2 linked regions of the Nothobranchius furzeri genome follow. The protein of the gene in region 2 interacts with the protein of the main gene of each other region in a biochemical or structural test. Links are inferred from orthologs where the notes say so. Each region holds a gene or a part of one and is shown on either strand. Other genes may lie near its edges.

Region 1 (4,347 bases), on a different chromosome or scaffold from region 2:
GAAGCAATTAGGAGTCAGACATTCAAAAACAAAGCGATGGAGTTTATACAAACCCTAATTCTGAACGTTTCACCTGGAGCAGGTGAGCTAGGACTCTGTTACCATAGTAACACAGCGGGCCTTAAAACCAAACCCCAACATAGCTGCTGACTTCGTGTTATTTAGGTCTCCACACCAGCAAAATGTGACAGAAACAAATATTTAGTGCCTTTTTATTTGCTTTGGCTTACTATTATAATATTTTACTGAAACATTTTGATTTTTAAGTTAGTTTATCCGTTAAGTTTGAATGCTTCAAATCATTTTGAAAGCCAAAATGTGCTCTAAAGAGCGTGTGGCCTGGTTTTCTAGGCGTTAGTAAGACTCACGCAGCTGTAGCCGGGGTCAAAGCTCTCAGATAGTCTCATTTTGTAGAGTAGAAGCTAAAGAGTGAAGGAACCTGTGTAAACACACAATATACTAGCTACACCACACCCAGAGTGTGTCATGTGATACATAACCTGATAAAAGTAATCACCTATCCTTATAAAGAGAATAAACAGCAACAACATAAAAACGATGACGAGCATTTTCTGGTGTATTATCATGCTACAGGGAGGCTAATGCTAGCTATAGCATGGTCCATGCTTGGGTTAATGGAGCCTGGAGTATAAAATAAGATGAGATATGTTTCTAAACTTTGGATTTGATGTTAAATGTGTGATGTTAAGGGCTAAGCTCAGATCTCTAAAGCCAAGAAAGATGTGTTCATAAAAAGTAAATATTTTAGTTTGGTTAACCAAAAGGGAAAGGATTCATTAACCAGTTAGTCTAAAAGTGTCACATATTAAATCCCATCAACTGTGGAAAAGCTGCTTTTTAAACCAGACTGGGAGTAAAACAGGACTGTCCGACTTAGCTTTTCTCCCCGTTTTACTTCATAAATATAAATAAGCATAAAGAGCGTTGTTTGTTTATTATGCTTCATATCTGATGATATTCTGATGCAACAGTAGGAAAACGAACTGCTTTAGACCAAGTGGTGCAGCGATGATGAGACGTCCAACTCTCCACGGTCACAGAAACGTTTTCTCTAACGCCATCAAACCAAACCACAGCAGCCTGGAGAGGACGGACAGACAGGACTCCAGTGCACAGGAGCAGATGGACGTGATCTTTAACTCTGATAATGATCAGAATAATTAAACGAGTTTGATTTAGTTTCCAGAAGCAGCTGCGGGTCGAGGAGCTGGGGGGAGGCAGCCCGGCTGTGCTGTGGGACAAGCACCGCTGATCTAAACGATCCACCGTGTTTGATAGTAAAACAACTAAACTGCTCAAGGTCTAATGGAGTAACTGACGGCCAACTACGGCCTAACGGACAACTGACTTTGTACTGGTGTGATGTTGCACGTGTGATCTGTTATCAAGCCCAACATTTAGCTTCATCTCCCATCTTCTGGGTCAGTTTCACAAAGCCAGCCCACATATTAAAAACAGCTCTGTGTTTCCTTACCACCCGGGAGAAAAGTCTGAGTGTCTCCAAGTCCTCCAGAATGTTGCTGTTCTTGGTGGTGATGAGGACCATGTAGAGTTTCTCCAGCGGCTGGTACACGTAACGAACACTGTCTGTTTCCACAAAGGTGTGCTGCTTGCCCGTGTTCATCAGCTTAGGGAACGCAGCCAGAAGACCCTCGATCCGCGTCCGGGTCATTTCCACAAACTGCCGGGACACTATGGCCTTTCCGGCCTTGGTGCACACCGCCGCTGCCAACAGCACCTGCAGGGCGAGGGGGAAAAGATGCATGTGTGATGAGTCTGTAAAAAGTTACAATTAGACCAAATGCTGCCTTCAGACAGGGTTAAGAAAAAGGAACTGACAGAATATTTCCACTTTCTCTGAAGGAGCAAAAACTAATCCCAGCTCCAAGTGAAGGCCTTGACATCAAGAACAAAACTACACCTGTAGGATAAACTATGTGATGGTGGCTGTATAAACCGGATAGGCACCTAAATTACTCCAAAGGGCAGAGCCGATCCGCGTCAGAGACAGCGGCGAGAGTAAGTAAGCTTCACCTAATCGGAACCACCAATATTTGCCTTGGCGCTGATGGGCTGGCTCACCTGAAGCCTGAATAAATAAGTCACACCTGGTTTAAATGAAATCTTAGCTTAACGATGGTTATAAACACGTAAGACTTTTCATTTAGGGATCTGAAAGCTGGAACTTCACTTTCACATGACCGGGGGCACTACGTGTCGAGCTAGCTGTGGTTAGAAAGCAGCTGTGGTGAACGAAGCTGTGCCCGCTGACGAACACCATGTCTCTGTGTGTGGAGTTTATTATTTCTGTCTGAGGAGAGCCTGACAGCAGCTCAGGTTAGTTGGGATCCGGATTCTGACACAACACCAGCAGCCTGAAGGTGCTAGGTAACGTCAGCAGTGTCTGTGTGTTCCTCTAGGTCCAGTTCACTGAAAAAATAAGATTCTGTTTTTAAAAATGAACCTTTATAAACTCCGTGTGTGCCGTTTAAACAGTCGTTAGACAAGACGGTCCAATAAACGCCGTCCAAGGTTTCCCTTTAAGCTCGTTTTGGGGCAGAGAAAATGAGCTAGCTTTAGCCGTTTGTCAGGTTAGCTAATGTTATGATGGCAGCAGGCCCGACTAGCCCAGGCTACTTCCACACGTTCTCAGCTGGAACTCACCATATTCGGTCACTCTGTGAGGTGTGGAGATCTTCAGTCCCTCGTGTTTCCACCGCTAGGATGTTTTTTGGCCCTCTGGAAAGGTGAGGAACGATCCAGCTGACTTCCAGTTGAGTGATTGTTAGCGCGTTAGCGTCAATATGGCAGCAGCAGAGAGCCACGTCTCCACCGGAAGAGCCGCGCTGGAGGGATCAGCCCACCGTGGAAACCAGTGACGTGGGCCCCGAAATGTTGGCCTTGTTGCATAAACAAACCCTGGAGTGGGACGGCCTGGGCTTATTTCTGCTCTAAATCGTGTTTTATATTTATGATCATTCATTAAAATGGTATCTTTGGAACTACAATGTATTATTTATGTCTTTATATTTAGCCTCTGTTCACTGTCTGATCTTCAGAAGTGTGTTTTAATGTGTAATTTTGATAACAGAAGTTTTCAGACATGAAGGGGTTATTTTGGGCTTGTTTTTGTCCTAGAAAGATTGCATTTCATCAAACTCATTGATACCCAACATCATATAAACATTTTATTCTTTAGTTAATTCTACTTGGGAGGGAGTGTCATATGTATATGTGTCTGTATGTATGTATATATATATATATATATATATATATATATATTACACATGTACATATATATTACACATGTACATATATATGGTAAATGGCCTGTATTTGATATAGCGCCTTCTAGAGTCCTGGAACCCCTCAAGGCGCTTTACAACACAATCATTCATTCACCCATTCACACACTGGTGGGGATGAGCTACGATGTAGCCACAGCTGCCCTGGGGCGCACTGATAAAGGCAAGGCTGCCGAGCACTGGCGCCACCAGTCCCTCCGACCACCACCAGCAGGCAATGTGGGTTAAGTGTCTTGCCCAAGGACACAACGACAGCGACAGACTGAGCGGGGCTCAAACCCGCAACCTTCCGATTATGGGCGAGAACTTAACTCCTGTGCCACCGTCGCCCCATATATATATGTGTTTATAGTGTGTGTATATATGTGTATATATGTATGTGTATATATATATGTGTGTGTGTGTGTGTGTGTGTGTGTGTATATATGTATATATATATTTATGTGTGTGTGTGTGTGTGTGTGTGTGTGTGTGTGTGTGTGTGTGTGTGTGTGTGTGTGGATAGAGCGCACCTCAATATAAGCCGCAGATATCTACTGAATTGAAAATGTAGTTTAACTGAACTGATCAGTATCAAACAAAACAGAAAAGTTATTGATTAGTTTATTCATCGTCCTCCTGTGCACTGAAACCACTGAAGTCATCTTCTTCAGTGTCGGAGCTGAACAGCCTCAGAAGAGCTTCGTCACAAACCTTTTCTGTGGCGATGTCCGTGTCGCTCTTCGTGTTGCTGTCATCATCCCGGGGTGAAGCTGGGAAAACAAGCAGCGCCGTTTTACTGTGATAAAAAATCCCCCTGGATGCTATCCGTAGTACTCCTTTAACCATTCCTTCATTAGACTTTCCAGCATCCATCCTTTCTGGTTGACTAAAGCCGCACCTCATTATAAGATGCATGGTTCAAAGCGTGGAAAAAAGTAGCGGCTTATAGTCTGGAAAATATGGTATATATGTGTATATATATATATGTATATGCATATATGTATATGAATATGTGTATATGTATATGTATATATGTATA
Region 2 (4,426 bases):
GTGTGTGTGTGTGTGTGTGTGTGTGTGTGTGTGTGTGTGTAGACAACAGATTTGTCAAAGTCAGCTGTTTGATTACCTCACCAGACTTTTTAACACAAGATAGCAGGAAATGTGTATTTGCTGTTTATAAAATTAATAACGACAGCACATAATTCCATTCAGTCAGACCCTGCATTGTGCACACGGCCCACTGGTCAAGAAGAGGCTGCTCTAATGTCATTAGCTGCACCTGTTCCTGCAACAACTAAATGTCTGCTAAAAGGTCAAAGAACTAATGACGCAAAGCAGTCTGGCCATTTGAACACGATGTAAACTGAGATTGCTCTGTGGTTAAATGTGTTAAACAAAATAATCAGTCAGTGTTAAAGGCTTGTAATCTTGATACCACTTCAACACCTCATGCATAGGTTTGGGTACCATTTCATAAAACTCAGAGGGTTAAAAAAACTCTGATTTAAAATATTTTCTATCTTGTTATTTTCTTCCTTTTTGTTTTTAATTCATTCTGCAAAAATCAGCCAGAGCTACTTTTTTATTGTAGTTTTGTGTATATACTGGACTTCTAAGTTTGGTCAACAAAGAAATGTTTTGGTAACTGTCGACATATTGGCAAACCTATTCAACCCGCACCCTTTGAGGTGTTTCATTGAAAATTTGGAGTCGGTTTCATTCATTCAATTTTCTGTGCACCCACGTTGTCACTCAGCTTAGTTTCCACCGGAGGGCGCTGCACGCCACTTTATTCAGTTGGGTTCCTTTCTGGCAGAAGTGTTTAAATGTTTAATTATAGGCTACAGAAGAAACATCGCAAAACAAACAAACAAACAAAAAAAATTCTGAACTGGATTTTTTTTTACCACGAGGAGGAAATCGATGTAATATGTAAAGTATAAATCTTTACTAATGTTAACTCTTCTAGCAGTACTATATTTATTAATTTTTTAGATATTTCGGCTTTTTTATGTTTTTATGGCAAGTATCCTTGATCAACTGCTGTGATCACATTTCATGCTCAGAATTTGTGTTAAAAATGAAATTTGATATACATAGAAATTTTAAATCCGTTTTAAATACAGCCCATAGTTTTAGTGTCATTTGTTTGCATTTAACAGCAAAACAATCACCAATCATATACATCTAGACACGTTGAAACTGACTTTTCTCTCACTGAAAGGGTGCATTAATACTCAATTTCTCTACTTTTATACTTGTGTTTTTATTGTGTGCTTTTGCATTATAAAAAATCGTGTTTGATTAAAGTCTGAGCAAGTGAATAAGTTACAGGTTTTCGACAACATTTTAAGTAAAAAAAAATTCGAATTATTTTAAAAAGAAAATATGCATGTCTGTAAAATGTGGGATTTTGTCCTTTTTTTCGCGCGTTTGAGCCTTCCGGCGCACCGTAGCAGTGATGTGGCTCAGTGAGCAGTCTTCCACGTTACTAGGAAGTACCCGAGAGCCGACGGGGTAGCCCTAACACCAGGAGCTCTTCTAGTTCTTTTACTCATGCTAATATTTGAAGTTGGGAATTGAAGGCGACCGTTTGGGATAAAAGCCGTGTTTTAGGTAAGTCCTGGAGCATATTATTTTCTAACGTGAGTGGATTTATCCAGTTTTTGCTACCAGCGTTAGCAACTATCAAACGTCCTCCATTTCATTGCAAACCTGGATGAAAGCTAAAGCTACTGTTGGCTAACGGTGGCTGTTTAGCTTCCCATTTTATTTCATTATCAGCCGTGTAGACGACAAAACTAGTTTTTATTATTATTTTTTTTTACAATTCTGTCATGTGCCGCCCATCTACGTTTAGACATTCAACGCAAAGGCGATGACATTTGTGCTTAGCTACGTACTAGCTTATTTCGCTATAGCTGTAACAGCTGCTTAATTATCGTTATTTGTTACAAAACTACTGTCAAAATTAAGTGTTTAAATCATGTGGTAAGAGGCATATGATCATAAAAAATAGCATCTACCTGTGTAACTACAGCGATGACAGGTGCCCTGTAACAAACTTTAAATTTCTCATCTTTTTACAGCTGTAGGTTTTGTCATTGCCAGTTTGATCACTACAGCAAAATGTTTAAACTCTCTCATCGACTGTTTAGCAGAAATTTAAAACTTAAAGGCAACAGTCAATGTGTGAAAATCAAGGTTTGTGAATGAAGTCTTGATCAAGATGAAAACATAAATTGCACCACCTCAAGTTGTATATTTCTAATATAAACCTCTCAGTTAGATAGATTTAGCATTGAACCAGCAACCCTCCAAATAAAGCAGCCTGGCCAATTGCTACACCAATTTTAATGAAGGCTATTGATTTAATTCAATGTGTTAGTCTTTTTTGTTCATTAGGTTTCTTGCAGAAACAATGAAAAAAGTTAACTGAGGAGTTTTATACTTTTTTAAAGGTGCATTATATAGAAATTAAGTGTAGTAAAATTTGGTTACTGAAACCACTTAAAACAACTCTGGAGCTTTTTGCCGGCCGTCGTCAAATTATAATTGTCGGCGCTGCAGTATTAGCTCGCAGGAGACACAGCAACCCCACACTCACTGATGGTAAACAGTAGGGATGGACAATGTATTGATATCGGTATCGGCCGATGTTAGTCATTTTTAACATATCGTATCGGTCCGATTAAAAAAAAGAAAAAACGGGCCAATATTATCAACCAATATTTTTTCCATCTTGTCTCCATTTGTTTGCCTGTTTCAGAGGGTGAGGGGGGTGATGTGTGATTGTTTAGTCATGTGAACTGTGAATGAAATCATCTCGGAAGTGTAAATGTGTGTGTTGTGTGTTCATAATAACCTAAATTCAGCTTTAATAATTTTCATTCTATACAAAATCTGCTGATTTTAGAAGCATTGATGTCAGTGTGTCGGTATCTGCAAATATTGGTTTTTGGCCAGAACAGTGATCTTGATATTGGTATTGGCCCAAAAATGTCATATCGGTGCATTACTAGTAAACAGTAGTAACGTCCCTCCTTCCTTTGTTTTGAAAGGAGGAAAACTGACAATTCCTGCAGCCAGCTGGATATGAAACATGTTTCAGTATAACCTTCCGTCCAAAATCACTGAAACTTTAAACTCTTTTGGGATTTTCTCACTGCAAAATTCTCACTATATTCTTACATACTGCACCTTTAACTTCAAAGTGATTGCTTCTCTTATTGATTTGTTTAAATGTGACGAATGTGATGTGTTTTTGTTTCCTCACGTTGTTTCCAGCCTCTGTGTAGATGTCTTTATACTTATTTCCAACATCTTTTGTCATTCAGCATTTGTTTTATCAGCCATTTTTTAACATTTATTTTCCATATTTGCAGGTATTACACTGAAGGGAACTTTACTGGGATTCTTCTAAATCCACCCCGTCCAACAGGCAGCAAAAATGACGGCTGCAGAAAACGTTTGTTACACACTGATCAATGTTCAGTCGGACTCTGAGCCTCCTTCTGAAGTCAGCTTAAAAACAGATCTGGGTAAAATTTCTTCTTGAGATTTTACAAAACGATTTCCTTGTTAACTGTAGTAAAGATGTAAACTTTTGTAATAATTTCTGATTGTGTATAAAGTAATAATTTAACTGGGATCAAAGATTGGATCTATTCAAAACATTTTAAAACTCGTCTTCATGTAAAATGTTAGCTGAAGGCAGGTGTCGTCAGGTAGAGATTTGAACAAATGAAATGTTTTGACATAATTCTAATGTCTTCCAGAAAAGGGAGAGATCAAAGCAAAGACCGAAGCCCTGAAGAAGGTCATAATCATGATCTTGAACGGTGAGAAGTTGCCTGGACTGCTCATGACTATAATTCGCTTCGTGCTGCCACTTCAAGACCACACCATCAAGAAGCTTCTCCTTGTTTTCTGGGAGATTGTTCCTAAGACGACTCCAGATGGCAAGCTGCTTCAGGAGATGATTCTTGTCTGTGATGCTTACAGGAAGGTAAGCTGGGGAATTGTTTTTATTTTCCACATCATTTTCAGCTGGAATAATAGCTGAACAGCTAAAATGATACGTTTGTTCTCAGTACTCTTATTAAAACAAGATTGCAATAATCGTTTCTTTTTTTATTTTAGGACCTTCAGCATCCCAATGAGTTCATCCGCGGCTCCACTCTGCGTTTCCTGTGCAAGCTGAAGGAGTCTGAGCTACTTGAGCCTCTCATGCCAGCGATCCGGGCCTGCCTGGAGCACCGTCACAGCTACGTGCGCAGAAATGCAGTCCTGGCCATCTACACCATCTACAGGTACCGATATTTTCCTGTCTTGTAATCTTCTGCCAGTGCAGATCAATAATCAGCTTTTTTATTTTAGGAACTTTGAGCATCTCATCCCAGACGCTCCAGAATTGATTCATGATTTCCTCGTGAATGAGAAGGACGCCAGCTGTAAGAGAAACGCCTTCATGATG

The links.
Region 1: the proteins of copb1 (region 2) and arcn1b form a complex in vitro, tested with the Homo sapiens proteins (2 studies listed by BioGRID). The link is inferred for Nothobranchius furzeri from reciprocal best matches to the Homo sapiens genes COPB1 and ARCN1.

The regions. Positions count from the first base shown.
Region 1 is NC_091753.1:20,842,764-20,847,110, reverse strand, and holds the start of arcn1b (archain 1b), read right to left. Parts: upstream 2,854-4,347; 5' UTR 2,689-2,853; coding exon 2,686-2,688; intron 1,760-2,685; coding exon 1,496-1,759; intron 1-1,495. UniProt on the Homo sapiens protein: Component of the coatomer, a cytosolic protein complex that binds to dilysine motifs and reversibly associates with Golgi non-clathrin-coated vesicles, which further mediate biosynthetic protein transport from the ER, via the Golgi up to the trans Golgi network.
Region 2 is NC_091749.1:61,891,237-61,895,662, reverse strand, and holds the start of copb1 (coatomer subunit beta), read left to right. Parts: upstream 1-1,409; 5' UTR 1,410-1,566; intron 1,567-3,335; 5' UTR 3,336-3,400; coding exon 3,401-3,491; intron 3,492-3,728; coding exon 3,729-3,958; intron 3,959-4,092; coding exon 4,093-4,262; intron 4,263-4,329; coding exon 4,330-4,426. UniProt on the Homo sapiens protein: The coatomer is a cytosolic protein complex that binds to dilysine motifs and reversibly associates with Golgi non-clathrin-coated vesicles, which further mediate biosynthetic protein transport from the ER, via the Golgi up to the trans Golgi network.